5 linked regions of the Daphnia pulex genome follow. The protein of the gene in region 1 purifies or fractionates together with the protein of each later gene. This does not show direct contact. Links are inferred from orthologs where the notes say so. Each region holds a gene or a part of one and is shown on either strand. Other genes may lie near its edges. The genes, in order: nudC domain-containing protein 1-like, ATP-dependent RNA helicase DHX8-like, coatomer subunit alpha-like, pre-mRNA-splicing factor ATP-dependent RNA helicase PRP16-like and putative pre-mRNA-splicing factor ATP-dependent RNA helicase PRP1.

What was found.
Region 2: the proteins of nudC domain-containing protein 1-like (region 1) and ATP-dependent RNA helicase DHX8-like purify together in Homo sapiens (affinity purification with mass spectrometry; 3 studies listed by BioGRID and IntAct, counting the BioPlex papers as one, with this or other methods). This does not show direct contact. The link is inferred for Daphnia pulex from reciprocal best matches to the Homo sapiens genes NUDCD1 and DHX8.
Region 3: the proteins of nudC domain-containing protein 1-like (region 1) and coatomer subunit alpha-like purify together in Homo sapiens (co-immunoprecipitation; 3 studies listed by BioGRID and IntAct, with this or other methods). This does not show direct contact. The link is inferred for Daphnia pulex from reciprocal best matches to the Homo sapiens genes NUDCD1 and COPA.
Region 4: the proteins of nudC domain-containing protein 1-like (region 1) and pre-mRNA-splicing factor ATP-dependent RNA helicase PRP16-like purify together in Homo sapiens (co-immunoprecipitation; 3 studies listed by BioGRID and IntAct, with this or other methods). This does not show direct contact. The link is inferred for Daphnia pulex from reciprocal best matches to the Homo sapiens genes NUDCD1 and DHX38.
Region 5: the proteins of nudC domain-containing protein 1-like (region 1) and putative pre-mRNA-splicing factor ATP-dependent RNA helicase PRP1 purify together in Homo sapiens (co-immunoprecipitation; 3 studies listed by BioGRID and IntAct, with this or other methods). This does not show direct contact. The link is inferred for Daphnia pulex from reciprocal best matches to the Homo sapiens genes NUDCD1 and DHX15.

What each region holds. Positions count from the first base shown.
Region 1 is NC_060021.1:754,379-760,755, reverse strand, and holds nudC domain-containing protein 1-like, read right to left. Parts: upstream 3,604-6,377; 5' UTR 3,400-3,603; coding exon 3,130-3,399; intron 3,068-3,129; coding exon 2,882-3,067; intron 2,812-2,881; coding exon 2,685-2,811; intron 2,619-2,684; coding exon 2,343-2,618; intron 2,272-2,342; coding exon 1,916-2,271; intron 1,827-1,915; coding exon 1,701-1,826; intron 1,632-1,700; coding exon 1,418-1,631; intron 1,353-1,417; coding exon 1,108-1,352; 3' UTR 1,052-1,107; downstream 1-1,051.
Region 2 is NC_060022.1:2,534,852-2,541,152, forward strand, and holds ATP-dependent RNA helicase DHX8-like, read right to left. Parts: upstream 4,216-6,301; 5' UTR 4,084-4,215; coding exon 1,075-4,083; intron 1,011-1,074; coding exon 745-1,010; intron 673-744; coding exon 267-672; 3' UTR 155-266; downstream 1-154. Other genes in the region: merlin-like, read right to left, coding at 4,693-4,743, 4,802-4,961, 5,024-5,340, 5,401-5,652, 5,716-5,847, 5,918-6,047, 6,121-6,227, 6,294-6,301.
Region 3 is NC_060025.1:3,019,947-3,026,193, reverse strand, and holds the start of coatomer subunit alpha-like, read right to left. Parts: upstream 3,525-6,247; 5' UTR 3,419-3,524; coding exon 3,339-3,418; intron 3,252-3,338; coding exon 3,104-3,251; intron 3,042-3,103; coding exon 2,487-3,041; intron 2,413-2,486; coding exon 2,202-2,412; intron 2,135-2,201; coding exon 1,761-2,134; intron 1,688-1,760; coding exon 1,535-1,687; intron 1,470-1,534; coding exon 872-1,469; intron 808-871; coding exon 599-807; intron 537-598; coding exon 354-536; intron 286-353; coding exon 1-285. Other genes in the region: GDP-D-glucose phosphorylase 1-like, read right to left, coding at 5,959-6,080, 6,158-6,223. UniProt on the Homo sapiens protein: The coatomer is a cytosolic protein complex that binds to dilysine motifs and reversibly associates with Golgi non-clathrin-coated vesicles, which further mediate biosynthetic protein transport from the ER, via the Golgi up to the trans Golgi network.
Region 4 is NC_060023.1:12,097,932-12,104,141, forward strand, and holds the start of pre-mRNA-splicing factor ATP-dependent RNA helicase PRP16-like, read left to right. Parts: upstream 1-2,459; 5' UTR 2,460-2,564; coding exon 2,565-2,706; intron 2,707-2,771; coding exon 2,772-3,001; intron 3,002-3,068; coding exon 3,069-3,544; intron 3,545-3,603; coding exon 3,604-3,674; intron 3,675-3,740; coding exon 3,741-4,138; intron 4,139-4,196; coding exon 4,197-4,355; intron 4,356-4,414; coding exon 4,415-4,579; intron 4,580-4,640; coding exon 4,641-4,747; intron 4,748-4,813; coding exon 4,814-4,949; intron 4,950-5,019; coding exon 5,020-5,166; intron 5,167-5,229; coding exon 5,230-5,440; intron 5,441-5,503; coding exon 5,504-6,033; intron 6,034-6,094; coding exon 6,095-6,210. Other genes in the region: DNA polymerase kappa-like, read right to left, coding at 282-980, 1,050-1,324, 1,394-1,664, 1,726-1,822, 1,881-1,996, 2,054-2,326. UniProt on the Homo sapiens protein: Probable ATP-binding RNA helicase. Involved in pre-mRNA splicing as component of the spliceosome.
Region 5 is NC_060017.1:1,845,690-1,851,837, forward strand, and holds the start of putative pre-mRNA-splicing factor ATP-dependent RNA helicase PRP1, read right to left. Parts: upstream 3,633-6,148; 5' UTR 3,507-3,632; coding exon 3,460-3,506; intron 3,279-3,459; coding exon 3,237-3,278; intron 3,124-3,236; coding exon 3,016-3,123; intron 2,953-3,015; coding exon 2,812-2,952; intron 2,749-2,811; coding exon 2,674-2,748; intron 2,613-2,673; coding exon 2,508-2,612; intron 2,445-2,507; coding exon 2,066-2,444; intron 1,986-2,065; coding exon 1,731-1,985; intron 1,667-1,730; coding exon 1,408-1,666; intron 1,349-1,407; coding exon 1,157-1,348; intron 803-1,156; coding exon 663-802; intron 600-662; coding exon 426-599; intron 365-425; coding exon 202-364; intron 144-201; coding exon 22-143; 3' UTR 17-21; intron 1-16. Other genes in the region: quinone oxidoreductase-like, read left to right, coding at 4,985-5,017, 5,098-5,196, 5,256-5,408, 5,528-5,867, 6,068-6,148.

The sequences.
Region 1 (6,377 bases):
ATCTTGCATTCCTGGTGCACAAGTTGATCGTGCTGGCGCTAGTTGGCAACGCCTAGTCGAACTGCTATATCCAACTGAGCCACCAACAGGGTGGGAAATTACGAAAGCCTCTTCACTTACCGGACTCCGGACACCCGACACCAAAGACCGGAGTACAGTTACTTATTTTAGACTAAAAAAAAGATTTAAACCCCAAACAAATTGCAAATTAAATTGTATTTTTTTAAAATGAACTTTATTCATAGTTTAGTTTTAAGTAAGTGTGCGACCCCTTTAAAAAACATTAACTCTATCATAGTTTTAACTGAAGTGAAAAACAATAATGCTAAAATTGGTAGGCCTACATTTGTAACAAAATAAAAATGATAAAAATACAGGATAATAGAGAGTATTTGAAATAATAATTGTAACAAATTGGTTGAATTATTTTATGCTCAAGCGGGCATTCTAGTTTCGTTTCCCTTCCTTGTTTTTTTTTTTTGTTATTTCCCGTACATCAATAGGAGACCTTGTGCAAGCTCTCAAAAAACTATCACCAATTGATGGTGTGATAAACAAGAGATAAGATAATCAACATCCTATCAACAAAAAAAAAATAGGTCAATTTTCGTTCTGTAGCTCAAGACATTATGAGGCCAACCTCAAATCAAAAGTTGTTTTGATACGGTAAAATTTTATAAGATAGCAGCTTTAGGAATCTGAAATTTTAATTATACATACACAAACAACATAATGTGTGACCTATTTAGATTCCCACCAATTTTCACAAATCTACTTTAGGATTTTCCATTTTTTAAATAATCGGGCCCACCTTTGATTTTCGCGGTCTTAAAAAATAGTGTATTCTTAGTACGTACATGTTTTGATCGTGAGTGGTGGAGTATTTAAAATTCAAATTTCCCACCGAACGATCTATTTTTACAACCCTTTAGTAAAATTACTTCTTCAACCATTACGAATCGAATACGCCTATTAATGGTATCATGGTATCATGCACCCCATACCTAAATTTCAAACTGGGCAAAGTTACAAAAAAAAATTACATTCAACGTACAGTCTGAATCAGTAATTGTATTCAGCCGTTCATTAAGGAAACTGTGTGAGACTTTAATCGCTGTTCACACGAATGGCAAAAAGTGACGAAGAAGTGAGAATGAGTAAGAAAGTATTGGTGGCCATGGCTCCAAGGCATTCTTCTGAACTATCGATATTGAGAACTTGTTGACGAGCAATATTACCCACTTTCCTGCCTGTTGGACGATGTACCATCTCCACGCCAGTCGACGAGCAATTGGGTTGACGGTAAATGTAAACGTGAGTGAATGCATCACACAAAGCTGCGTAAGTCATATCTACGTAGATTTGAACGGAATTTTTTGTTAAATATTCAATTGGTCGTCTTATCGAAATATTTTACCGGGAGGTGCTACAGTAAACTTCCGTTGTTCTTTTGAAGCCTGGATGTAACCAAGTGCTTGGAGCGCAGCAGTGTGAAGGCATCCCCATGGCTGTTCTAATTCATCTCCCATCGGCTGCCAAATAAGTCCATCAACGTCATGGCGTAAACAGAACGCCGGGGCTAATCCTGGAGCACTCTCAGTAAAGAATAGTAGCTGACCACTCAGTATGGCCTGTTGGAAAAAATATATACATAATTAGTTAGCTATTTAACCTTATCGAAATTTGTTTCTATTATTTACTTTGTGTGTAAATTGATTAGTCTCTCCATCGAAACGAAAGATGTAGGTTTCGTCCATCATATCATCATCGCATTCCTCTAGTTGTTCACTGCTGAAGATTGGAGGTCGTCCACCATTTCCTGATTGCTAATGAGAAATTGGAACATTAGTTACTTGTTTTCAAACAATATTGATACTTGATTATAAAACATGATTAACAAGATTGCAGCAATTACCTTGTCTTTCGTGGTATTCAATACAGTTTCATACTCGGCAGCTGTTTCAGCGTCAAGAACTTTTCGACCACGAAGGTCATTAAGGACCAAATGACTCCAGTTAAGGGATTGGTTATTCTTTGATAAGATGATCTCTAGTTTTCCATCCGACAACGTCCACGTACTCGTATCAACCGAAATGGCATGCGCTAATTCGCCATCCAAATAAGTTTGGTTTTTGTGTACAATTTTTAAAGTTTGGCTTTCAATCTTAACGACCAAGTCGTGCTTTGACGTCTGTTTGTCAAAATTGACCCATAGAGTCACCTCCTCTGGAGTTTCTGCCCAAGTATATGCAACTTTATTTTCAGATTCATCTAGCAAACAAGAAGAGTAAATTAGAATCAGATAGTATAATGAGACATGTCTACAATAATTCTTGTTATACCTTCATCCATTTGTGGGCTTGGTAAGGGAGCAGCGACATTCCTGGTGGAATCGAATATGATTCCGAAAGGCTCCCGAGCAATAAGGCATATCGATTTACCAGGGCTCAAAATGGAAGCATAATCTAAGCCGTGAGGTATCGCTAAACGTTTAAGTTGTTTGAAGGACCAATTTCCATCCTTGTGTTCATACTCAATCCATTCAAGGCAATTTATGAAAGGAGTCTCTTTCTCACTGCATCCAAATATTGACAAAGCAATTTGGCTCTCAACTTGATCTGGAATAATCTTTTCAAAATTTAATCTTGTTCAAAATCATTACTTTTAAAAATTGTTATGCATACCGATTGATTCAACTTTGAGAACCAAAACAGAAAGAGTCTCCAATTGGCTGCCCTCTTCAGCATTGAGGATGGAATGTATAACCTTGAAGGGTTCACCACTTCCCATAATTTGGTTGGACAACTTGACCTTTAAAAATGTATGAAATTAACAAGAAATCTATAATGGCAGTGAATTGCAAAAATAAAACTGTGCTTACCTCCCAAGTATGAGAATGTGTTGAAGTACGGATGTTTGTATCGATTATATGTAATACACCTCCCCCATCTGTAACAACTGCCAATTCTGACGAAGCAAAACTCAAAGATGCATTAAACCAGCCATCTCTTCTTTCAGATCTTTGTGGGATTTGCCATACAGACGTAAACTCAGGATTCTGACTTGCCTGCAAAAAATTTCATAGAATAAATATTCTGGATTTTAAAAATAAATATTAATCCAACAAACCAGAGAATGAAGGTTGATTTTGAAGATCTGCAAATCTTTTGATATGAAAAAGGCAATTTCATCTGACCAAGGATCTTCTATCAAATGATTGTGAAGACCGAATGTTTTCACGTGTGAATAAGAAAGTTGCTCATCACTTGGTTTTAAATGTTCGACAGCCACAGGTACTTCATGTTTGTAAACAGGTAAAGCATCCAAACTCAATTTGTATCCTTCGAAAGTAGGATCTAGCAAATCTTTTTTCGGGCGGAGTTCAAATATCTTTTCCATTTTCTCGGCAGGAATTTTAATTCGCGATAAATTTCAAGAAACTGAGACAAGTTATACAAACGACAGAATGAATACGAAGTGAAATACTTTCGCTGTTAAATGATGATGTGTACTTCTGACAAACGATTACAAACGTATTTTTGTGTACGCGCTCTTCCGTCTGCTCAAAAGGATTGAGAGCCGTCTGTCGGTCTGTTGCTGACTAATCGACAATCGTTCGCTAGATGGCGAAACATGAATTCAATTAAAGAAAAAACGAAATTGGGTCATTTATGTAATTCGTGTTCTGCGTTCGGGATAGATCGTGAATAACGATTACAGTAATTAAAATATGATGAAAAAGAATCCGAGCAATGCGAATTTAATGACAGTACTCTAGTATGCCCAACTTCCCCAAGCATACAGCTTAATCATGCACGTTCCATAAGAGTATAAGACCATAACCTACCAAATAATTAATTATTTTTCGCATAACATCGATCTGCTATTTTTATTGTGCTTTTCAATGATAAGTCGATAACCAAATTGTAGTTAGAAATATTATTTAAATGTTTGGTGCGCTTTAATTATTTTTTATGAAGCGGTTGTTGCATAAATGTGTTTTGGTTAAATTTAATGTTACGTAGATAATACATTTGCATATTTTTAAATTTTATATTGATAAAAGTGATAAAATGAAGATTAATCAACATGAAAAAAGATATCCTCCCCGACGGGGAATTGAACCCCGGTCTCCCGCGTGACAGGCGGGGATACTGACCACTATACTATCGAGGACTTGTCAAGTCCGAAATGTTACTTCAAGAAATCTTTTTTCAAACAGTGCAGGCTAGAAAATGTCGGGTGCCTTGACGACGAAGAGAAACCAACCACTAACACTGAGAACTCGACAGAATAATAAGAGAAGATTAAAATGGTGTATGGATATTAATAACGGAATATATAAAAAGTTAAAAACGATTTAAAAGTTAAAAAGAAATCCTCCCCGACGGGGAATTGAACCCCGGTCTCCCGCGTGACAGGCGGGGATACTCACCACTATACTATCGAGGACATACAAAAGTAAGTATCGATTCATGTGCTTTTTTTAGCCCTATTTTAAACAATAATCCAAATGTGAACTCAACTCTATGGCAGACTACTAATCTTTGTAGTTGTGAAGATTGATGATGAATATATTGCACAGTTTATACTTTTTAAGTAATACATTTGAAAAAAGCTATGGGATGGAATTTTGAAAAGTAAAATTTCGAATACAAAACTTGATCGCTCCTGGCGTCCTGGGGAATAAAATCTAACTGGTTAACGAACCGGAATTTGTTGTATCTTTTTAGTGTGTCTTTTTCAGCAGTCTGAATCGTATCCGTTATGACCTTCTTTTCAAGGTTGTGTTAGATTGTGGCTCAATTGTGGCAATGCATTTTCTACGATAGGAATTTGTAGGGGTCAGCGTAAATCAAGAAATTCGATCAGTAATCGATAGGCATCTCGCCAGTCTAACCGAGTTACACCAGGCATCAAGCTTTAACGTTGCTGGCATCTATAGTATTATTCTCTGTGAATATAAGCTCTCCCTTATTCACCTAACCCTTTTTCTTACTATATGACGGGTCAGCCACGCGATGATGGATTGAATTTCTTTGAACACCGATCGCATAACAGCTCACTCAAACGCTGTCAGGCCGCTCTATATAGCAAATAACCAAAGTATACACAGCAGCAGCTTGCTGCGTATATACATAATATCCAAGAAGCGTTATACCTGAGAAAAGAATTAGAATAACACACCATTGCTAATCGAAATCGGCCATTGACGAATGAATCAACGCAAAAATATGAATTAGTTCTGAATAAATCCTATCGGGTGTGAGACGAATTGCAAATGATGCCGAAGGGATGATGATGGCGAACATGATGAAATAAGAGAATAAAGAGCGTGTAAAAGTCTGTAGACCAAACATAGTATATCAGAATTTACCTTGTATAGTTATATTTAGTGCTTGAGATTAAATCGTAGATCTATATATATTGATATTCGCTGGCTACAACTATGAAATAATACGGAATACATACTATAAAGACCATATATGTATACCTGCCTTTTTTCTGGTCAGATGCATACGGATAGAATTTCATGGTCTTTCACACACATCATTGCATGCTGCGCGCGCTCTGACAGTCAACAACAACTTATAAGATCGCAGCACAAGTGAGAGAAGAGACGAAATAAACCAACCGTTATTGGCTACCGCGACGAAGGCGAAGGTTGTTTGGTTACAGATTCCCACCGAACAATAACTGAATCGACCACAATGTGACCCCAGCACAGCCTTGAATAGACATGTACATGTATATACTACACAAGCACATCTATATTTGTTATATTGTTATACTATATACCTTTTTTTTCTTATTATTATTCTTCAAAACTGTTCACAACGGATGAGCGATGTTTGTTTGAATGCATGATATAAGAAAAAGACGCCGGGTGATGCGTAGTATAGAGTGAAGACCGGGTGTTTGTTGTTCAATCTTTTGTATTTAAGAAATGTTGAGGTGGTGTATAACTTTTTACGTTGTCGTAATGCATATGAAGCGATTCCAGATGGTTTTTCCGGTTTCATCGTATCCACCAGTCCACCACCGCCAATTTTCAAAACTAGATTTTATTACAAGCAGTGCAGCTTATACGTGTTCTTATGTATCGCAGACGTCTAGCGGATTCTGCATCCGCTACTCGAATAACCTTATGGACAATTATTCAGGAAATGCATCCCAGTTTATTTGATGCGCATTTTTCTTTTCTCTTTTGATTTCCTTTTTTGTAAATTGCCAATCTTCAAGCCAATCTTTTTGATTTAAGTTTCAATTTTTTACCGAGTTCGACTGTCAGCCTCTAGATGGCCCATTTTCACTTGGTATAGACAAACAAACAGACGGGGAGGAATAGAACGTGCGCGTTTATTATTGTGGCGCTG
Region 2 (6,301 bases), on another chromosome or scaffold:
GAAACAAGTTTTCAACGACGACTGTATCATCCGTGTTTCAAACAACACACTGACGGCGAAGGTGAAATTACCTTCGCCCACATCGATTCGACAAAGTTTGACGTTGCCGGGGTTACAATTTTCCTCCCAAAAAAGATCAACGCGATGTTGCCAGTTATATCATCAAATCAGTGTATTTGTATGTAACAAATTGTAATTGCGTACACAAAGAGGACCATGTCACTCTGATTGATTGCAGACAATCGTAAATTTTAAAAGGGAAAATTCTAATTCCGGCGCAGTCGGCGCTGTCGGGAAATACGCCACGAATTAGGCTCCTCGTATTTGTTGTACAACGGCTCGAGCCGTTGGTTTCGTTTGACTTTGCTGAGCTTGGTCGGGTCAGAGAATCTGAAAAAGGCCGGAGCAAACTCCACCAGCCACTTGGCATCGATGACAGTCACTTCACGCATGTACTCTTTTGTGGTTTGAACCAATTCATGGTAGACGACCCACTCGGGTTGCCGGTTAAAGATCGCGCTACTCGGGTGGATGTAGACCACCTGGCCGTCCACCAACGTCCGATAACCTTCTTGCGGATCCTTCTTGGCCGCATTACGGAAGAAACCCGAACAGATGGCTTTCTGCACCCTAGCCGTATTCTTGCCAGCCGATACCACGTCCAATTTGTGCCTGGAAAGTGTAGAAGAACAAATGTTAGATTTTTGAACGGATAATACAATTTGCATCAAAGACTAAACATACCTGTCCATAATGCCCAATAGCTGTTTACGAACATCCTGAGCTCGTTTTAAGGTACGCATCTGAACGAAATTCTCGTAACACCAGGCACTGCTAAACTTGTTGTTCTTCCAGGAATTGTAAACGGCCAATAAAGTGATGTGATCTCCTTCGGCTTGATTGAATTTGGCTTTCTTCTGATCAGCCAACTGTTGCTTATCTTTGGGTCGGTAGAAGACGTTCTGAACTGACAACATGGACACGACTGTCAAAATTTCGTCCGAACACATCTAAAACAAAAATTTTTAAAACGTCAATTACATCGATCAGGAACAATTGTTGATAATATCATACCAAGTGAACAGACATGATGAGCATCTTGGAGAGAGAAGGCTCCAGAGGAAATTCGGCCATACGTCGACCAAGACGCGTGAGTAATCCTTCGTCGTCTAGAGCGGAAAGGGAATGCAGCTGTTCAAGTGCCATGATAAGTGACTCCACAGGAGGAGCGTCCATGAAGTCGAAGTTGAGCAGGTCATTGATGCCCATAGCTTTGAGTTGCAGGACAGTGGAAGCGAGATTAGTACGCTGGATCTCGGGAACAGGCGTGGCAAGCATTTCATCACGATAAGCTCGCTCCGTGTACAAGCGGTAAGTCTTTCCAGGTCCAGTACGACCGGCGCGACCAGCTCGCTGCTTGGCTTGCGCCTGTGAAATGGGTGTCACCACCAAAGAGTCCATTCCGGTCTTGGAATTGTAGACTTTCTGCTTGACAAAACCAGGATCGACGACATAGTAGATACCGTCGATGGTAAGACTGGTCTCGGCGATGTTGGTGGCGATAACAACTTTTCGGGAGCCTGGTGGAGCCGGTTCGAAAATTCGAGTTTGCATTTCAGACGGTAGAGCGGAATAGACGGGAAGAATGATGAGCTCAGGAACGTCAGGGCCCATGGACTTCATGCGCTCGTATAGAATTTCGCAGGCAGTATCGATCTCTTCCTGACCAGTCAAGAAAAGAAGAATGTCGCCCGGTGGTTCGTTAAGGTGGATCTGCATGACGGTAATGAGCGAGGCATCCAAGTAATCCGTCTCAGGTTCCCGAGTATACAATATCTCGACGGGAAAAGTTCGACCCGGAATGGTGAAGATGGGCGCCTCGAAAAAGTACTGCGAGAATTTCACGGCATCCAAAGTGGCCGACGTTACGATGAGTTTGAGTTCGGCTCGCTTCTGGACGGCTTGCTTGAGAAGACCGAAAAGAACGTCTGTGTGAATAGTTCTTTCGTGGGCTTCGTCCAACATGATGCAGGAATACGATTGCAGATCGGGATCAATCAAGCATTCACGCAGCAACATACCATCCGTCATGTACTTGATCAAAGTTTCAGGACTGGTGCAATCTTCAAAACGAATCGTGTATCCAACTTCCTGTCCTAGACGACAACCAAACTCTTCCGAAACTCGCTTGGCAACGGACATGGCGGCCACACGACGAGGCTGCGTACAGCCGATCTTTCCACGAGCCGTGAATCCGGACTCGGATAGATATTGAGTGATTTGCGTAGTTTTTCCCGAGCCCGTCTCACCGATGACAATTAGGATTTGGTTGTCATTGACAGCTTTGATCAGTTCATCTCTGAGTTTGTAGATGGGAAGTGATTGACGTTGCTCGACGATGGACAAACTAGTTTTCTTGCCGAAAGAGGCTCCTTTCGGTCCACCAGTGATGTGCTTTTTCCATTCGGGCATGTCGTATACAGGGGCTCCCGTTCCGCGACCCAACGACGTTGACGGTGCAGCCCCAGCATCCGGCATGGGATCAATCCAGGTCTTGTTGGCGCCTTGAGCCGGTGCGTCAGCTGCTTCTTGTTCTTCTCTGAGCAACATTTTCTGTTCGCGGCGTTCTTTGCTGAGAGCGCCTTGCATCATGGCGGCTTGAGCTAGAGAACCGTCGGGATTCTTGACGATACGAACCGGACTAAGTTCATTAAGCACTCGACCGTGACCTCGAAGAAAGGGTGCCTCTTCTTCCACCAACTCGATTTCGATATCTTCTTCGTCTTCGGCCAGCTTTGGCAGTAAACCCGTTTCTTCGTCGAATTCGGGCAAGTCCATTTTGTCGATACAATTTGCTGCCATCATTTGCTTCAGTTCCCAGCGTTCAGGAGACGAAATCCGTTGCACACGCTTGCGGTTGGTTAGTTCATCCTCCTCTACATTTGCCTTCAAATCTAGCAATGAGAGAGGTCGATCTGGATTCCTTAAAGCTGTTTCACTTTCCTGGCTGGTTAGTCCAGGGCGGCTTGACGTCGAAGGAGCTGGGTTCAAATCTTCGCCAGTGTCTTGGTCCACATCTTTCATAGAAAGAGAGATCTTTTGGCCAGCAATGCTCATAACTTTGACATGAACCTTATCTCCACGATTGACAACTTCAGCCACACTATTCACACGGCCTTCTCGTCGCAACTGGGAGATGTGCACTAGACCCTCACATTTTTTCCGTATTCCTTCAATTTGTACAAAACAACCAAAAGCTGCAAGATTCATGATTTTTCCCGCGTAGACATTTCCCACTTCTGGATTCTCTGGAAAATCTTTTTGAGGTTTCTTTCGACTTGGGGATTCTCGTCTGCCTTCGTTACTTCTTTTATCATGATGACGATCACTTGTTCTGTTTCGATCTCCTCTATCTGTACTCCTGGACCTGTGACTTCTGTCCCTGCTTCTTGATCTCCTCTTTTGATCTCTGCTTCTTGACCTTCTACTTCGGTCTCTGCTTCTGGATCTCTTGCTGCGGTCTCTGCTTCTTGATCTTCTGCTGCGGTCCTTGCTTCTTGAACGTCTGCTTCTTTCCTTCTTGTCTTTACTCCTTGCTCTTTCCTGAACAGGCTCGATTGCTTCAGTAGAAATCTTTTCTTCTTTAGGAGCCATGGCTTCTAGTTCAGCCATTAAATCGTTAGCTTCTTCAACATCTTTAATAGTCAATTTTATGTCTTCGAGAAGCATTGTTCTTGCCTTAGGGTTATCTGCTAAGGCAAGACCAGGGAAGAGTTCCCGTTTCTTCTCTGTTTCTGCATTGTAAACTGTTTTCTTTACCTGGGCTAAGTTCACATCAGTTGTTTTCGAGTTGGCTGATTTCATGTGTTTGATAAGACGAAGCAAATTTGCAATGAGAGAGTCTGAAAACTCGGCGCCATTCTCCAGCATTACACTTTTGAACTCATCAAAGGTCTTGTGTTTTTCGGCCAATGCGATGATGAACTCTGCCAGATCTTTATCGTTGAGTCCCAAATGGTTTTCCAATTCTGTGCACACCTTAGAAACAAGCGACAGGTGTTCGAGTTTCTCTAATTCATCCATGATGATATAGGATATTTTGCCACTTATTAAATCATTTACAAATTGACAGCACAACAATTGGGATGGCGACGAATGTGGAAATTGACGAGCCGACGAAAAAACGAATGCTTTCGTTGTTAAGACAACGTTGCAAGAATGCTGTAAAAGAAAAATCAAAATTAATAGATGAACTGGCAACATTGCGCGCAAAAAATATTTACATTTTTTCGAAATGAATTTGTTAACTTTTGCGTTTCACAGATTGAAATGAAGAATTATCTAATCTTTCTCGGTTCTCTGCATTTTGTGTTTGAATTTGAATGAAACTTTTCCATGTTCATATTGAATTGGTATTCTAGACATACAGGTTCATTTTGCAAAATTCATATAAGAATGTAAACAACGCCGATGCTGCTACTAGTAAAAGACATTACTCATTAGTCAACAAGAGTTAAGTTTTTTTTAAATGAAAGTCTATTTGTCTAATGTCTATGATGATAAGATTTCACGAAAATGGGCAACTTAGTGAATTAAAGATTATAAACTAAGTTGCATCCATGAAAATGGTCAGCCAATTTAAAATTTATGTACAACACATTGTCAAAAGTAAAATTAAAAATATGACTTAAGCTACAGCTCTTCGAAAAAGGCCACGCGCGCTCCAGTCGATCCAGATTTTGACTAGGAAAAAAAGAAAAATTAACTCAAATTTGAATTAATGACTCTCATTCATGCGTACCTTTTTGAGAGTTGAGTATTTGTCGTCCCCTGAACGGAGTTGCTCTTCGTGTAGCTGATCGTAAAGCGTTTGTTTTTCACCTACTTTCAAGACTTCAATCTCTGTACGCAATTCTCTCAGTTGCTCCTGCAGTTGCTTCGATTTTTCCAAGTATTCGACTCTAAATTTATTTTAAAAAATGAGCAAACAATTACGCAACAATTCCTACGATAGATTTACAACCTCTCTTTCTCAATTTCAAGTGAGAGTTGCTCCATATCGCCATGTGTCATAAGGTCATAGTTGGATGAAGAGTTGACCAGTTCGGAAGCAGCAATAGCTGATAGATATCCACTACTACTTAAGCCAGTTAAGTTGGTGAGGCCAGTAAGCTGATTAGCCAGCGGAATAGGAAGGCGGGCCTCATAAGCCGGCAAACTTGCTTCGTTAGAGACATCGTCGAGTCGTCGTAAATGTTGCTGAATGTCCGACTGATGATGTAAATGGTGGTCTGATCCAGCTACCGACGAACTTGATGTCGGAAACAAGTTGGGAACAGACTGAAAAATGGTAATTGTAGTTATTCGCTCATTAAAATGTTGACAGAAACTGCAAAGTACCAGGACAGACGCGGACGACGGGATGCGTGTAATTGGACGAGATGCCGAGTGTAAGGCTGCAACACTAGCTTGTGTTGTTAAAAACTCTAGTAGCTTCTTTTTGGCTTGAGTTTCAGCGTAACGGGCCTGCAAAAGGTCACCTTTTAGCTGCTCTGCTTCTGCTGCACAACGCTCAGAATTCTCTAATAACCTTGAGGCAATTTGCTTCGCCTCATGTAATTGTCTCTGAGACAAAAGTTTTTCCTCTTCGGTCTAGACGCAAAAAGACAATTAAATGTAAAGCTACCTAAATAAGTTATGAAAAAATTCACTTACTTTCATGGCAGATAAACGAATTCTTTGCAACTCTTGTTCAGCGTCTGAGGCTTTTTGAGTTAACAACATTGACTCTTCTTCTGCAACTCGCGCCTTTTCGGCCAGCAGCTCAGCCGACTCTTCGGAACGCCTCTACAAAATTGGTATAATGAAATACTGTACTTGATACTAAAACTAAAAATTAAACTGAAGAATATCATACCAACTGTTCGTTCGCTACACGGAATTCTTCCTGAAAGTGAATTAACTGTTGTTCTAGGGCTGCTTTTTCACGTTCAGCTGTTTCGCGTAGTTGCTTCTCTCGTGCAAGCTTATTTCTTTCACTCTGTCGTCTGAAAAACGGTAAAGTAACCACAATAAGAACTCAACAATGAATAAGACAAAACTTGTCAAGGTCAAATTTACCTGAGTTTCTCTTCTTTAGCCTGAGCCTTCATTTGCTGAACTTCAATTGAATCCGGTTTCCTCCGACGCATAAAGAGATCATGATTTCCAATACACAAATCTAAGATCTAGACATAAAAATGCGGAAATAAAATTCGCTATCCTTTTTCATTTATGTAAAAATCATGGATTACCAATTTGT
Region 3 (6,247 bases), on another chromosome or scaffold:
CTGACCACGAGTGGGTGGCACGTAATAACCGCGGTCTTCGTCTTCACCTCCATGAGCAGCAACGCTCAAATCGGATGGTAACTCTAAATCTTCATCACCCACTTCCCAGCCACCTTCTTCATCTCCGCTCTCGGCATTGCCAGCCGATCCAACCGGTTTATCTTCATCATCAAGACCAAGATCAGCATCATCTCCCCAGCCATCAGGTTCACCGGCATCTTCCTCGGTAGCAACAGCAGATCCAGAAGCAATGGTACGAGCTGCCATGGCTCCATCGAAAAATCCCTGTTCCAGTTCATTTCAAATGTTAAAGTTCCCTCCCATTAAAATCTATCAAATGAACAATGGCGTACCTTGGAAACGGTCAACAATGGCCAGTTGGATTCCGCCTGAGCAATTGGAGGAGGCGGCTGCAAGAACACAGCAGATGGATTTACAGTAGGTACTGGTTGACCGGCTGCTTCCAGTTGTTGTTGCAGTAGTTCGGCCTCTTCATTAAGCCCATGGGTAGCGGCAGTAAGGAAAGCCAAGCTCGTCTAGACCATGTTTAAACATTACTATCATTCAAAACTTAGTTAACTGAACCGTCCCGTATTACCTGTCCGCAGTTACGAAGCACCTTGACACGTTCTTGCATATCCCCTAGCAAAAGGGCCGATTGGTATTGACCCGAAGTGTCCTTGCGAATTTCAGCAATCTTCATCATCTTTCTTAGCTTGTCGAGGTTGCCAGTAATCAGATACAAAAAGGCCAACTTGTTGAAATTCTTTGTCCTTTGATAGCACATCTCAACGACCTGGTGGTTGCCTACAGATCCAATATAAAGTAAGTTAAACATCATTAAAAAAAAACTAATAGCGAGAATCCTGACCTTGAAGAAGGGCAGCTTCGCCAAGTTTCTCCCAACAGAACTTGTCGTCTAGAGCCTTGGCGGCTTCAAGAGCTGCTTCAATGTTGCCACATTGGAGAGCCAGGGCCAGTCGAGTCTTTTCGTCTTTGACAAAGTGTAGGGCAACCTCTGGATAACCTTTTTGCTGCAAATAAGCGATGATCGATTGGCCGACAAGTTTGGCGTGTCGAACCATGTGCAACACTTCGTCGTACTTTCGGTTGACCAGGGCCAACTTGAAGCAGTATTCGGTGGGATCCACCTGGAACATGCGAGGACGGGCATCGCGATCCAAACAGTAGATAGCCTTGCCCTTGACACGGGTGAGATACACGGGCAGATCTAGGGTGCGGATGATGCCGTGATCGCCGTTGATCAATGAATACTTGATGTGGTGGCTAGTGGTGTAGATCAGAACACCCGAATCTTCCCAGGTAGCAGACTTGAGTCTGGCGTTCTCCTGGATGGTGCACAGCACTTCAAGACGACGGTTGGCGATGGTCAAGACGTGCTTGCCCAGTAATGCAACGTGACTCATGTCCGCCGACCAAACGACATGGCGACATTTGGTCATTTTAACCTGCATAGAAAATTTTGAATGAACATGGTTGTTCTTGGAATGACCTACTTGCTTAGTTTTATTACCTGTCCAGCACTACGTTTCTGTTGGATATCAAATAAGGTCAAGCCTTCCGTATCACGAAGTAAAACGCATCCAGTACCAGCATAAAAGATTTCATCACACGGAGGTGTCTGAATTTTCTTGCTGACTTCGTTCTTTTCGTTTTTGATGACGATCTAAAAAATGAAAAATGAAATAAAATTATTGTAGAAAACCAACATTAACCCGGTGTTTATAGTCGTGGCATACCGTGTGGTTACGATCCAAGACAGCAAAACGATTGCGAGCGACCCAGATGGCAGTCACACCTGTTGAGCGTTTTCCATCGCCACCATCTTGCGGACAATCGGCTTCAACTGGAACCGAGTAGAGCTCGTAGATGGAATTGTCTAAATTGGCAGCGCGAGTGACAACCAGAACAGACTGCTCGGCAGGATTGTACGAGATGCTGTGGATCGGCGTGCGAGCGTTGCCCCTCAACTGCAGCAAACCGGTATCTTTCGACGTGGTAAGATCCAACCGACGAAGGGTACGCTCCTTGACGTAAAATAGCAGATTGCCGTGCAAGCTGTACGCAGGCCTTTCTCGCTCCAGCTTAAAGATCACCATTCCGGAATCGTGCCCTGAATAAACAACACATTAGCATTATTAGCGTGATCCAATTTGAAATGTTACAGAATGTTAATTTACCTGCTGCGAATAGACCCAAAGTTGGATGGGCAGCCATAACCCAGAAACGGTCGTGTTCACGACGGAAAGTGTTGAGGCACGTCCTCTTCGTGAGGTCCCAAACGCGGATACTCTTGTCTTCCGAGTTGGAAAGGATCAGCTCTTGTTTAGGATGGAACAAGACGCAAGAAACATTGTTGTAATGGCCACGGCACGTATCGACTTCCCATGCCTGTTCACAATACGGAGAAACAAAAAAGTTATTTTCAGAAGATTAACAAGTCATTTCTGCTGTGCTCTCGTCACCTTAGATTCACTCATTCGCCACAACTTGATCTGGCGATCGTCAGCACCCGAGATGACCAACGGAAGTGTCGGATGAAATGCTGCCCAATTCACTCCGCGATCGTGCCCCTCCAAAACATGGCGAACAACTGCGTCAGCTTGGCCAAATAAATCGGTGGCTCCAGGATTACGGAGGTGTTCATCGAGACCTCCAGGTCCAGGTGCCACATTCTTTTTTCTCAAACCTAACAAAAATAGAAATAATGATGTGATCTTGACAGTGAAAAATGGTTGACAACTGTTAATACCAGAAATGTCCCAAACTCTGACAGTTTGATCCAGGGATGCAGAAACAATCAAATCTTCTGTGGGGTGAAACTGGGCACACATGACATAGTGGTTATGGCCAGTCAAAACAGATACACAAGCTCTGCTTTGCCAGTTCCAGATTCTAATAGTTTGATCATCAGAGGCGCTCAAAATCCATGGGTATTCGTGATGGAAGACTGTGGTACGAATGTAGTCCATGTGGCCAGACAATGTGAATTGACAGCGCCGCAGCTTGTAGTTCCAGACCTAAAGGAACAGCATACATTATTGGCATTTGTTAATTTGTCAAGTCAGGCAAGGGTGGGTACCTTAATTTTGTAATCATCGCCACCAGAAACAAAGAGGGGCTGCTGACTATGGAAACAGATTCCACGTACAGGTCCATCGTGCTCATCGAATTTATCCAGCAACGCACACATACGATAATCCCATAGTTGAATTACTCCGCTATGCAAGCTAAATGACAAAAATTCAATTAAAACAATTCAGACTTTGACAACTGCCGACTTCAAGACGGGAATCAAAGTATGCAAAAACACGTACCTCGTTAGAATCCATGGTCGCTTGGGATGGAAGGAAAGGCCTTTAACTCTGGCCGATTTCGTTTCAAATTTAGTTAGCATTTTTGCGAGACATTAACCGGTGAACGGTCACCAAATATAAAGTATACAAGTCTCCGGAATAATGAAATGACAGAAGAGCCACGTCGCTGAAGTAGTCAAGATAAACGCCACCTACCGATAGGTTCATATAATATGAAGGTACTTCACGCTAGATGGCATAGTTCAGTGCGGATTTGGCTAGTTTTTTTTTTTTTAATTTGAATTGCCAAATTCTTCTGGTGTTGGTGAACGAAGTCAACGTAGGCGAGTCTTATCTTGTCGACTTAGTTATCGTTAACTACGCCCAAGGAATGATAGAGCGTGCTTTCTAATGTTGAAGTGAATTGCTTTAAGAAAAAACTCGATAAGATGAGTCAACAATCGAAGAGAACTGTATGAAATTTGAAATTCCACTTAAACGAAGATTCGAATGTTTTCTTTTTCGTGTCAAATTCAAGCCAAGTGTACTTTTGACAATACAAATTACGAGATAAGGGATTGTCGCATATTCGTAATTTCTTTTGAACATTATTCGTTAAAATGTAAGTTAACGAAAAACGAAATTTAAAAAATAAAAATCCAAGTTGATTATCCCGAAATTTACGATTAATTGCCGGTTCAACAACTGCAGAGCAAGTTTCTGTCCATGGAATGATATATATACGACCGCTAGACGAAGCGGATAATCATCAAACTAAACAGCGATTCATATCACCATGACGAAATTCGCAAAAGGGAAAAAAGCTTTTTCAAACCTGATCGGATACGTGATTACACTTATCGTTGTGTGGACATTTTTAATCTGTTTTGTCAAACTACCTCCTAATCAACCGGACATTAATGGAAAACCAATAAAAATAACATGCAACGAGTACGATAAAATTAACTATCCGATGAAATCCAGTAACCCGAGAGAAAAATACAGTGTCTGTTTTCTACAAGGAACATGTTTTTGCTGTGTAAGTCTCTTGATGTCAGGCATCCTACTCGCAAAGAAAAGATTCCGTTCTGTTTCATCATCAAACCGTTCTGCAGGCATATTGCTGGTGTTGTTTCAACTTCTGCTATGGATTGTAGCGTTGATTACTGGAGGTGTTTTCGTCTGGCTATGGGTGAACAACGGTCCAACTGAAACTCTGGCTCCAAACTTTCTAGCCGCCTGCAAACCGAACGGACTTGATGTGCTTTGCAGTCCCGACAATCATCTCGATGGGAATCCGGTTGTTTGGGTCACATGTTCAACACCTCCGGAAATGTGGATCCCCGCCCTATCCAATGCGCTGCCCACACTAGCGGCAATTCAGGCTTACCTTATGTTTGCAACATTATTGCAAATGGATTACTACTGGAAGTGGGAGGAAGAGGATGATTCTGCAATGAAAATTGTCCAAAGACTTTTCGGTATAATGGGTCCAGTCTTCACCTTTCAAATTGGATACTTTGACGTCATCTCGCCTAATCTGGCGAATTTCGACCAAGAACTGGTTTCCGGCTACCTGAAATGCTGCGCTGTTGCTTGTGTGTGGTTAGCAGTGGATAGATTTTGGACGAAAACTAAAAAAGAACCAAAACTTCCACGTTACTGGAATGACGTTCCAGCTAACAATGAAATCGCAGCCCAATCTGGCCAAAGCACCACAAACCTGACACCACCCCCCACACCTACTCTGCACGAACCTCCAGCGACGACAGGATCAGGAACGACAACAGGAGAAGCAACAGAAAATGTGTATCAGACCATTTACCCGAATCTGCCGCCGGAATATGAAAATCCCCCCGCCAGTTACAGAGACTCGGTCATCCGGAATTAAACGAGTTGGGAACAGCTACCAATTGAGATCCGTACGTCACTAAAAAATGTTATTCATGTCTGGATTTAAACGTATGACGATTTAATTTCATCAAATAAATTTCAAGTTCAACTTCACTCACTTCATTTCATGTTTCAATTATTTTAATTAAAACGTAGTATATTAGTTCTACCTCTAATATCACGGTAGAAATCATTTCTAACATATATGTCTAGTGTAACTGCGGTTAACCTACAGAATCACGACGGTCGTGACCAGCACAGAACAGAATTTTACGGCGTTTTTACGGCGTTAACCATCATTTGACATTGTCAAATGATGGTTGAATGGGGGAGGGGGGGGTATAAATTACCGGAATTCCAGCCCTTTAGAATTCCCCCTGCGAATCTATCATCGTAGTTTTGTTGACAACATAATTATCACGTCAAGATGAAATATACACAAAAACCCCCCAGAATAAAAAATTAAAATAGTTTAAACAACTGTGTTTCACTGGTCAGCGTTTTGTAAGAGACAACGAAGGCAAAAACAGCAAACGACCTGAAATTGTTTCAACCCAGCCAAACGTGGCCCGGCTCCAAATGAAAATTGATGCAAACCGAAATAAACCGAAAAATCGTTACTGTTGTCTGTGCTGTGCACAACCTCACGGAACCAGTTGAGCTGGTCGAGAGAAAAAAGCTGGCGCGATTTAATTACAACAGGGTCATTTACGTCAGTCATCTGTCAACTGGGAGCGATCGTTTTTGACTACGTGGCAAAAGCAAAGAGATGGGCAATCTGGGCGCCGACGCGCTCGAACCAGGGTGCCGTGATGCTGTCCAGCAGTTGGGCGGCTTCTTTTTCCGTCACGACCTGGTAGGCTGGTGGCTCTGAAATAAATGCAAAATGACCTCAAGACAGTTATAGTCGAAGAAATTATGCTGATTCTTCACAAGTTTAAACGCACCTTTGATCAAAAGGTGGCCGGCCAGCTCGCAAAGTGCAGGGTTGAATCCTATTTCTTCTTTGACTCCTGCGGGCAAAAAGTGGGAGAGAA
Region 4 (6,210 bases), on another chromosome or scaffold:
TCAGTCCAAATGGAACACGCGAAAGAACTTGGTTGGTTGCGCTGTTGACATTTGGATTTCCGATTGGAGGGGGGGAGAGAGTCTACAGTGGTAGCAGACGGTTGTACTACATTATTGAAAAGGGCCATCATCATTAACATCTCGGCGAATCGATAAGAGCTGCGACGACAGCGACTCGTAGCGGCAACCATCAATCTACCCACCCACCCATCCTCATCTAATAAATTCATCTATCAATTATTAAAAACTCTAAACTTGATATGGAAGACTAAAAGGGGGAATCATTTACTACGGCGGATTATGTATCGATCGAGTTTCGTCTGGTGACAAGTGGAAGAAGAAGATGAGCTGGGCAACACCAAAGAAGTGGTTGTTGCGAGTGGTGGTGTTGTCTCAGCTGGAGGGTAGAGAACTTGTTGATTCAAACATTCGTCGATGTGGCTGTTGAGGGCGACTTCACCGTCCTTCGTCCGCCACGAGTGGCAAACCGGACAGGTGAATAAGAGAGACGCCAAAGTCGGATCCGGTTCCGAAGAGGAGGACAGCACTTGTCCGTCCTCCTCCAATTTCCTCTTCTTCCTGGCCGGACACTCGACGGCCAGTAGTTCGCTCAGAGTGCGCTGCTTCCGGCTAGGCTTGTCATTTCCGGTTCCAGCTGACGACGACGGCGTCAATTGTGACATGCGAACACCCAACAGTCGCAAGTTCAACCCGGACGGCAGCAAACTGGTGGCCGCTTTGGCCATCACACCGCCATCTCCCGTGTAGCCCGTCAACTGCGTGATCCGCGTCTTCACGTCAAACTTGTCCGTCTTGTATTTCAACGTCACTGATCGACCCAGCACACCGTGACGTTCCAGGTCTTGGGCCAAATCGGCGCTCAATTGACGGATAATGTCGCACAATTCGTTACGATCGCTGGTCGACCGGAACGTCGTCTCGCAGCTCACCGATTTACGTTCACGTTCAGATCCATCGCCCTATGCCACACAATTAAATCATTACACAAATAAATGAAATTGATATTTAAATGTTTTGAGGAAACTCACGCCACCACCGCCGGAACCGATTCCCAGAGCGACCCGCAAGAAATAGTCGTAACTGGACTCGCTGAACAATAAGTAAAGCAATTCCCGATGATTCCACAAATCTCGACACGTGGAGATGCCCAACGAGCCCAAGAGCTGCTCCGTCACGTTGCCAATGCCGCTGATCTTGCGGATGGGCAAGTCCTTGATGAACTCGTCGACCGCCTCTTTGCTGTTCTCCAAAATGAATTGGCCGTTGGGCTTGTTCTTGTCCGAGCACACTTTGGCCAGCATTCCTGCAGATAAAAAATCAAGGGTTTATCATTAGCAATTGGATTCAAGGGGCCGCGCACAATTCAATGGACCGTTGGGTGCGATGCCAGCGCTGGCCGTTAATTGGGTCGATTCCAAGATCTTGGCCCTCATCTCCTCAACAGCTTCCGAGGCCGTCATCTCGGCACCAGACTCTTTACGAGCGCAGAGAAAGTCCGTCAGGTCCAAATAAGCTTCGTCCAGCGAAGCGGCGCTAAACTCGGGGTCGTAATCGGCAAACACTTTTTGCACTTGGCGACTCACTTCCGTGTACTTTGGGAAATTGGTGGGGACAATCACCAGCTCAGGGCACAATTTTTTGGCCTGCGTTTAAGAAAGACTTGTTGTGACGATTGATTAAACAAATTTTAAGGAGAAATCATACTATGAATCCAGGCATGGCTGCTCTGACGCCAAATCTTCTGGCCAGATAATTGGATGTAGTCAGCATGGATGAAGAGCCAACTGCAATGGGTTTAGTCCTTTAATGTACAATAATGATTTCGATACAGCTTAATGTTGTGAAATGGTTAATAATACTTCAATTCTGGGCAATCTCTCATTTCAACAGCAGCATAGAAGGCATCCATGTCCACATGCACCATTGTGCGAGACAAATCCCTCGTCAGCTCAAGTTTTTGAGCCAGACTGTCCATCTGCACTCAACGAATACAATTAACAATCTACTTGACATTAAACTTGAAAAGTTATACTTTGGCTCTGGCCATTTTCTTCTGCTCTTCAGTCAATTTGGCACAAGCTGCCTTCAAATTAGCAATCTTGGCATCAATTCTTTCTTGATTTTTCTGCTTGTGCTGATAAAATTGAGAACCTTTGGAAGCCTCTTCAATGATTTGATTAATTTTAGCTGTATCCAATCCTTGCATCCCAGCTTTGTGATCGTTCAATTTCATGATACCCAAGTTCTCGTGGGAAGAATTACATTTTCGGGCACCATCGTCGCCCATTTCAACACGTTTCTCCATCGCTGGTTTTAACGGAAATGATGGGATTTGGCGCGCGAGCACGAGATTGTACTATTTACATTGGACATGGCGCCATCGAGTGGCAATTTTTGAAAACAAGTTTGGTGACATCTGGTGTCGATTATTGTAACTCGTTTTGGAAACGAATTGTAGACGACAAAGTTCGTTTTGAAACCACTAGCTGCATTTGTTAATCAAAAACTTATTTCTCGCCGTTGCTTCTTTTTAGGAAGCAGAAATGGCAGATCTTGACAACATTGAAGTGTTGGAAGGTTCGGCCCCGACATCGGGTGGAATTGTAGTTCGAAAGAAAAAAAATAACGACAAAATCGAAGAAGAAGGACCCAAAGTATCATTGCTGGGACTGGACAAGCTTGCTGGTGAGCCCATTTGTCTAGTATGTTGTAGTTGTCATGCCCCTAATTTGTTTTTTTCTCAAATACAGAACAGAAACGAAGATTGAAAGAGGCATTACTTCAGGATTTGAAAGACGAAGCTGACCAGAGAAAACTTGATGAAGGATTTCAGAAGCCCCATGTCAAGGTCGACAAGAAAACCTTGCGAACGTCAGATGAAACTCCCACATACACTGGAGGTGTGTCCGATGAAGCTAGAAACAGACTGCAGCACAGACAAGATCGTGACAAGCAGAGGAAGTTTCACGTCTCTTCTAAAGTACATTTTCTTGTAGAAGATTTTCAAAAAAAGTTCCTTCTAAAATGTATTTGTATATTAATTTCAGGTAAAGAATGATAGGCACAGGGATGAAAGTCCCAAGTTCAAACGTCCTGGCGAGAGAAGAGACGATCGTAGTATCCGAGAAGATAGCAAACGTTCAAGACGTTCAGATAATGGTTGGGAAACGCCAAAATTCCGGGACGAGCCTTCAACCCCCAAAATCCACGTAAAAGACTCCCCGTCGCGTTCCAGCTGGGACGATGATGATCTTGCGGCATCCAAAGGCTGGGAAAAAGATCAGGCCGAGAGGCGAGAACGTCGCATTCAGGCCAGCGGTGGCTCATCAGAGCGCCGTGACAGAAGAGGAGGATCTGATTGGTCTGAACGAGGAGATCGTCGTTCGTCCGACAGGTCAGAAAGAGGAGATCGTCGCGATTCTGATTGGTCCGAAAGGGGAGACAGACGAAGCAATGACAGATCTGAACGAAGAGGTTCGAACATGTCGGAACGCAGTGAACGGATTGCCTATTCTCATTACAAGTAAATTGTTTTACCAAAACTATAAGAGACTGTTAATAACATTTTCTTCTGTTATGTAGGAGTGCTAGGAGTCAACGATACAATACGCCCAGAGATTCTGGCATTGGAAGTTCAGTTGCAACTGATCGAGGCAAGGATTTCATTGTGTCATCTAAGTCTTGTGGGTTTTTTAATTTAAATTTTTTTATGAACACAGTGGGTTCACCTGAGGTGGAATTGGACGCAGAAGAATGGGAGGCGGAGCAGAAACGTCTTGACCGTGAGTGGTACGGCCTGGACGACGGTTACGATGCCGAAGCCAGTCAAGCGTTTGGTGGGGTCAGTGAAGAGTACGCCCAGCGCAAAGAGGAGCAACTGGAACAGAAGAAGCGCAAACGTGTGTCCGCCAAGCAGAAACAAATTCAGAAAGACAACGAACTGTGGGAACGTAACCGGATGTTGACCAGTGGTGTCGTCACCACAATCGACGTCGACGAGGACTACGAAGAAGAAGCCGAAGCTCGGGTCCATCTTCTCGTCCACAACATTGTTCCGCCTTTCCTTGACGGACGCTACGTTTTCACCAAACAACCAGAAGCCGTCGTCCCCGTTAGGGTCAGTAATAATATTTAAGCATTTGAACCGTAAATGTAAAACACATTTTGAATAACAGGACCCCACATCCGATTTGGCGATGGCAGCTCGTAAAGGCTCGGCTTTAGTTCGAGTTTATCGAGAGCAAAAGGAACGAAAGAAAGCGCAGAAGAAGCATTGGGAATTGGCCGGTACCAAGATCGGTAACATCATGGGTGTAGAAGCACGTCCTGAAGAGGTTAGTTTTAAATAGGACTATTGATGTCGTAATTTAAACTAAAATTTCTAAATTAATAGGATGCAGGTGCAGTGGATGAGACTACGGGAGAGACGGATTACAAAACGAGCCAGCGATTTGCGGAACATATGAAAGACTCTGACAACGCATCCAGCGATTTCGCCAAGAAGAAAACACTTCAACAGCAACGACAATATCTTCCCAGTTTCGCCGTTCGTCAGCAAGTCAGTCTGAACATGAATCGTATAAAACAAAGACCAACATCTAATTCTATTTTTTATTTAGTTGTTGACGATCATCCGCGAGAATCCAGTTGTCATTATCGTCGGTGAGACTGGCAGTGGTAAAACAACACAGTTGACGCAGTACCTGCACGAAGCTGGCTACAGCAAGTAAGTTTTACTCAACATGCCTATTATCAATAGCATATAAACTAAATGATTGGTGTGATTCATCAGGTATGGAATGATTGGGTGCACTCAGCCTAGGCGTGTTGCAGCCATGAGTGTGGCCAAACGTGTGTCTGAGGAAATGGGCTGCAATTTAGGTGACGAAGTGGGTTACTCGATCCGTTTTGAGGATTGCACCAGCGAAGTATAAATTATCTTTTAATATTCGATGGAATTTTTAAAACTTATTCAAACTGCTATTTTGTATTGTATAGAAAACGATCATCAAGTACATGACGGACGGTATTTTACTTCGCGAATCTCTTCGTGAACCCGACCTGGACAATTACAGTGTCGTCATCATGGACGAAGCCCACGAACGTTCACTCAATACGGACGTTCTTTTTGGTCTTTTGAGAGATGTAAGTTTTTATTTATTAAAAAATAGCAGCGGTTTTGCTTATTTAACGGAAGTTTAATTTTAGGTGGTTGGTCGTCGACAAGATTTGAAGCTGATCGTTACGTCGGCTACGATGGACTCGACCAAATTTGCCGATTTCTTCGGCAATGTACCCGTTTTCATCATTCCCGGTCGAACTTTCCCGGTGGATCTCATGTTTAGTAAGAACCCGTGCGAGGACTACGTGGACTCTGCTGTCAAACAGGCCCTTCAGGTCCACCTGCAACCCACTCAAGGTAACGCGTTTGTAAAATTTGAATCCTTGCCCGTAGAAATTATTAAATGTTCATTCTCTGCAGGAGACATTTTGATCTTCATGCCCGGCCAGGAAGACATTGAAGTCACTTGCGAGGTGATACAAGAGCGATTGGAACAAGTTGACAACGCTCCGCCGTTACTAGTGCTGCCCATCTACTCTCAACTTCCGTCCGAGTTGCAAGCCAAGATTTTCCAAAAGTCCGCCGATGGGATACGCAAGTGTGTGGTGGCCACCAACATCGCCGAAACGTCGCTGACGGTCGACGGCATCATGTTCGTCATTGACGCCGGATTCTGTAAACTCAAAGTGTACAATCCGCGCATTGGTATGGACGCCCTTCAAATTTACCCCATCAGTCAAGCCAACGCCAACCAGCGGGCAGGTCGAGCCGGACGTACCGGCCCTGGCCAATGTTTCCGTCTCTACACGGAACGGCAGTACAAGGATGAAATGCTCGTCACAACATTGCCAGAAATCCAGCGAACAAATTTGGCCAATGTCGTCCTCCTTCTCAAATCCTTGAGTGTTCAGGATCTCCTGCAGTTTCACTTTATGGATCCACCTCCCCAGGTAGAAAGCTTAAAATTATTCAGTTAAAGAAAGTCAGTTCATTTGTTTTTTGATCCTGCAGGAAAACATGTTGAATTCCATGTTCCAGCTGTGGACTCTGGGCGCTTTAGAAAACACTGGGGCTTTAACGCCACTAGGCCGGCAGATGGTCGAGTTCCCATTGGATCCCGCTCTCTC
Region 5 (6,148 bases), on another chromosome or scaffold:
GATAACGTCAACTTACCGTTTTCAATTCCGATATTCTCGACTCTCTAGACGGTTGATTATCTGTTCAAGTTGTCTCTTTGCCGGTCCTTCTGGGAAATTGCTCATATCATAATAAGAAGGAGCAACTTTGATAAGCCATTCCGCTACAAAACAGAAGTGTGTTAATTTGGGGGATCAGAAAATCAGATTTTCATATTCTACGTTTGACATCGGTGCAAGTTCTGATGTAGTTTTTAGTGGTCAAAACAAATTCGTTGTAAATAACCCATTCCGGTTTGTGATCCAAGCAAGTCGAAGGGTGAAGTTGTACCACTTGGTTATCTTTAATAGTTTGATAGTGACCCGTTCGTTCTAAATGGGCAACCTGGAAGAACAACGCGAAGATGTACTTAAATACAAAGAGAAGAAATTATTTGTCTCTATACCTGCATAAAGAAACCGCTAATGAGTGCTTTACGAATATTAACATAGTAGTCCTTTGAGGTGAATTCGGTGGATGTGCGTTTTAAATTGAAGCGATCCATAATACGGGAAAGCTGTTGTCGCACATTGTCGGCCGATTTCATTGACCGGTAGTTGACAAAATTGTCATAACACCACTGTTTAAAAAGAAAAATGTGAGATTACCATCAACGAGCTCGTAGAAAAAGACGGGAGCATACCTGAGGATCTTCCATATTTTGTTTAAATGCGTGATAGACGTTCAGCATAGTCAAGTGATCACCGTCAATATGAGCAAAGCGCATCTTGGCCTCGTCAGCAGCCTTTTTGGCTTCCAGTGGACGCATAAAAACTTGTGGGACTGCATTCAGACGTTGCGGAAAAAATGGGAGGAGACAAAAAGAGAAAGAGACGGAAGTGGGGCCCCACATTTTTCAAGGAGACCAAAAAATGGGAAGCCCGCGCGTCCCGCCTTCATGTTTAGTTCTGTTCACCTATTAACAGGATACAATAGAACAGCCTATCGTTTCTACTATGATCTGTGCTCTCAAAGAAAGCACACCTTTTAAACCAGTTGATTAGCCGTTTTGCCATAACAAGTAAGAACTTTTAGATTAAACTACAAAGGCAAAACGTGGCAAATCACCCTAGCTATTTTTCAGATCCCACACAAAGACAACCAAATCAACCGAAATAGAAGTTAGGTGAAGCTTACCGGAAAGCATAGCCGTAATCGAAAGGATCTCATTGGAGCAGTTGAATTCCGTAGAAGCAATCAACATTTTGGCCAATTGAGGATCAAGGGGAAATTCAGCCATAATTGCTCCCAACTCGGTCATGTTACCATCGTCGTCTAAAGCACCGAGATAATTCAGCAACTCTAGAGCTCTCATCAAAGTCTCGGGAGCTGTAAAATAAAAAAAAAAATCAGCATGCGGTTTATTTATTTAAATGTTGATATGGTACCTGGAGGGTCCATGAAATCAAAATGAACAAGGTCGTCGATGCCTAATTTTTTAAGATTAATGACGACTGATCCCAAGTTGGAGCGAAGAATTTCAGGATATGTGTTGTCTTGCATCTCTTGTTTGTAGGCTTTTTCTGTGTAAAGACGAAAACATTTTCCTGGTCGCGTACGCCCGGCACGCCCAGCACGTTGCTGAGCTGATGCTTTGCTGATAGGAGAAACGAGTAAAGACTCGACGCGAATGCGAGGATTGTAAACCTGAAAACAGCAATTCCACAAATTTGAACCATGTAACTCACATTTGAAAATTCCTAAATGTTACCTTTTGTTTGGCAAAACCAGGGTCAATAACAAAAACAACACCATCAATAGTAAGCGAGGTCTCGGCGATGTTGGTACTAATAACCACTTTACGACCGATGGCTCCATTTGGTCTAACTGGGGGAGCAGCCTCAAAAATCCTCTGTTGCAAATTTGGTGGCAATGTGGAGTACAAAGGAATACACTTCATTTCTCCCACTTCAGGACCAAGGTTGTCGATTTCACGTTTCAACCTTTTGCAAGCTTCATCGATTTCCTATGTGTACATGAATAAGATAAACATGTTCAGAGAAATCTGAGAAATTCAATCAAATTTTACAAATATATAAAGCTAACCTCTTGACCAGTGAGGAAGAGAAGAACATCACCGACAATATCTTCACACATGTGAATTTGCATGACTGTGCGTATGGCTGCTTCAAGATAGTCACGCTCGGGTTCTGGGGTGTAAAAGATCTCCACAGGATGCGTCCGACCGGGCACGTTCATCAATGGTGCGTTATCAAAATAAGATTGAAACTTTCCCGCGTCAAGCGTGGCAGACATGATAATTAACTTTAGATCACGCCTTTGCTTAATGACTTCCTTTAAAACACCCATAAGAATGTCAGTAGCAAGTGTACGCTCGTGAGCTTCGTCCAATAAAACTAGCTGATACGAGTCTAACAGTGGATCTGACATGGCTTCACGCAACAACATACCGTCTGTCATGTACCTTTAAAAAATGAAATAGGGAATAGTTTTGATCGAATAAAACGTTTTACTCAAAAGAACATACTTGAGTACGGTTTTGGGGGAAGAACAGTCTTCGAAACGGATACTGTAACCCACTTCTTGACCAAGAACGACGTCCATTTCATCAGCTACACGTTGAGCCACAGACCTTACAAAAAAAAAACGGTTTTATATTAAGAGAAAATTAACTATTTGACTTAAAATATTACATAGCAGCAACTCGACGTGGTTGAGTACAAGCGACTCCTTTTTTAACTCCTAGTTTTCGCGCAAACTCAGCCGACCTGTCACAATAATAGCAAATTATCAACAAACTGCTCTACGATAAACTAAATATATTTCCTAACCATTGAGGAATTTGAGTAGTTTTTCCCGATCCAGTTTCTCCAACTAAAACTATTGCCTGGTTGTTTTCTAGAAGCTCAAAAAATTTCTCCCTGTATTCCCAAACTGGAAGGCCAATGCGCTTTCGATAAATGTCATAGTATCTAAAACAATATAAATGATCATTATCAACGAGTGTTTAAAAAAAAATAATATTTATGATGTACTTTTGTGTATAGGGCAATCCTGTAAGGGGATTTAATGTCAACCCTGGCTTTGATGGTGTTACTGGAATTGATGCAGATGAACCACCAGGTTTAGAATCAGTTACATTTCTGTAAAGTAATAAGACAAAGCATTATTTTAATCTTAAGACACTAATATGGGAATTTGTAAATCAAAAAGTGAAAATGAATTTAGAAAAATATTTATAACAATAGAAGCTTACTTTTCTTTATCTGCTTCACTCCCTTTGTCACCAGTTGCCCGGCTGTAAAGTAAAACAAATTAATTTTATTGCATAATAATTTAAAAAAAGAATGATGGTTTTTTGAAAAATCATTAACAATCTTATCGACCACGACATGTTTCACTACAGCATGCTCATGTGCATTACAAATGACACAATCGCGGGTTTATTTGTCTAATTTGAATAATTGCATTTTACTTACGATTTCTTGCTGAGCTTGTCATCAACTTCTATGCGTCTTTTCGACATAATAAGAGGTGAAAATATCTATTTTACGATATTTAAAAACGAACAGGACGTGGATACACGTTTTCCAACAGCACAGACAGGAACTTCGGCCACCAATTTCCACACTTGCAGACGCTACTTGTGAAATTCAAAGGAAGCACGCGTTTCATTTCAAATCGCTAGATGGCACATAGCCAATAAGCGGCGAACTGCGGAACTACTGGTTTATTGCCACAATTTAAGTTGACAATAACTCGTCTACAGATGCCGTATTTTTATGCGCGGCGCTGATCTATAAATGTATATGGCTTTGCTTCTAATTCGTTTCAGACCCTAGCTATATGGTATTTGCTAATTGAATAGTATAGTAATTATTTTACTGCTCGATCACAATTTCATGGTTGCCTCGTTTTGGTGGTTAGAAAGTTACAAGTTAGCCTAAATGAAAAAGTTGTTGATTTCTCAATTCGGAATATTTCCTCCGTTCAGTACCGTTATGTTTATATATTCCACGAGAATTCAGCATTGACGACGTCCTTATTATAAAAAACTTTGAATTCATTTCAAATAAATTAGTTTGAATATCCAATACGCATTGAAGGACTCAATTTGTCTTATTTCTATTAATCATGTGTTTGGTCTAATGAAATTAGGCCTAGGAAAAAATAGAAAATAAAAATCTATATGGGGAGAAGCTATTGTTTAAATGCATTGATGCTTCCCGGAATAATTCAATTTAAATTGTTCTTTATTAGTAGGGAAGTTGTAGAGAGAAAGTAGAACGCAGAGAACGGGCATGAAATCGTGAACTGAGCGGAACACATAGCAGTAAAGAAAAAAAGAAAGGCTAGGAAATTTGATGTCCTATTTCTTCTTTCTCGGTGCTCCCGACATTCACATCGCTACCTGCCGCCGAGGAATTAACAGGTCTTCCGTCCTACGTCCGTCCAGTTTACGTTTCCCTGTTACAATTCCCTTTGAAAATCCGTAAGACAATTTTTTGTTACCGTTAATTTTATCGCTATAGCTAAAAATCTGTAATATTACTTAACAAAATAATTGGAAATTTCGTGTGTGCTGTTAAATAACTTGATTTCAATGGCCGAAAAAGTGCCCGTACTTCGGGAGAAAATATTTCCAAAGAAACCCGATTTCCGTTACGCGCTCTCAGTATCTAGAGCATCGCATTTTGATTTAATATTTTCCTTCTAAAGAGACCAAAGACTACTTTTTTTATTTGCATTTCTGTTTATGATTTGCAAAAATTGCGATCGGACATTTTTTGAATTGGGAGCCTTCGCCCTCTATGTCGTCTGAACTTGTTGATGTTATTAACAGATATCTTATTGAATAAAACTAGAGGTGCTGCTTGATTAGATAAGAGAAAGCCAGCAAGCAGTTATCCAGTGAAGGTAAACTGTAAATTATCCAGTGAAGGTAAACTGTAAAATGAAAGATGCAACGAACTTTCGACCGAGCCCTTAACTAAATATGTGTCAATGAACTCGAGAAACTTCTTTGTATTAACTAGGGTATACAGAAAAATGGACAAAATCATGTAGAGATTATGAACATTAAAATAATGATTTTTTTATTGTTGTTTTATTTTCAGGGACTGGCAATGAAGGCTGTACGTGTGCACACATTTGGAGGACCAGAAGTCTTGAAAGTAGAGTCTGATGTTCCGATTCCTGTTCATTCTGAAACCCAGGTTTTTTATTTGTTCACTTGCTTCAATTGACACGACTGTTCTAAAGTTGCTATGTTTAGGTTTTGATTAGGGTTGGTTCAGCTGGTGTTAATCCAGTTGACACATACATTAGAATGGGATTATTTGCTCAATTGCCAACTCTGCCTTACATCCCTGGACGTGATGGTTCTGGAACTATTGAAAAAGTTGGCTCCAAAGTTGACACACTCAAGGTTAGTCGTCCTTTTTAAAATAATCTTCCAAAGGAACAGGTTCAATGATTTGAAATCATCCAAATACTCAAGAAATAGTTTGAAGAGAAAGTGCTACAATTTCTTCTTTTCTATTGCAGGAAGGTGATCGCGTTTTCTTTTCCGGAGCCAGCGGCTCTTACGCCGAGTACGTTGCTTGTGAATCGCATTCAGTGTTCCATCTGGCTGATCGCCTCTCCTTCGCCCAAGGGGCCGCTCTAGGTGTTCCTTACTTCACGGCTTATCGCGCTATATTTATCAAGTATATAAAAGACACTCTGCTTTCACATTTCCTTTATTTTCAATTCAATCTAATGGTTTTTATTCTTCTTCCCCCTCTTGTGTTGTGCAGAGGAAAGGCCAAGGCCGGCGATCGTGTTTTGGTTCATGGAGCCAGTGGAGCTGTTGGTTTAGCCGCTTGTCAAATCGCTAAAGCGCACGGTAATTAGCTATAATAAACCATCTTCTGTCGTAATGCTAGACGAAAAGACCACCTACAGCAATATCACTTGTGAAAACGTACTTAAAACAAAATGGCGTCGTTTTACAGCGATAGCACATTCTTCATGTCTAGCGATTTAAAAGTTACAACTTTTTTGTTTCGTTTGGTAATTTCACCCTTTTTTTCTTTTGTCTGTCAGGAATGACCGTCGTTGGAACAGCAGGTTCTCCCCAGGGGATGGAACTGGTGAAAAACAATGGAGCTCATCTGGTATTCAATC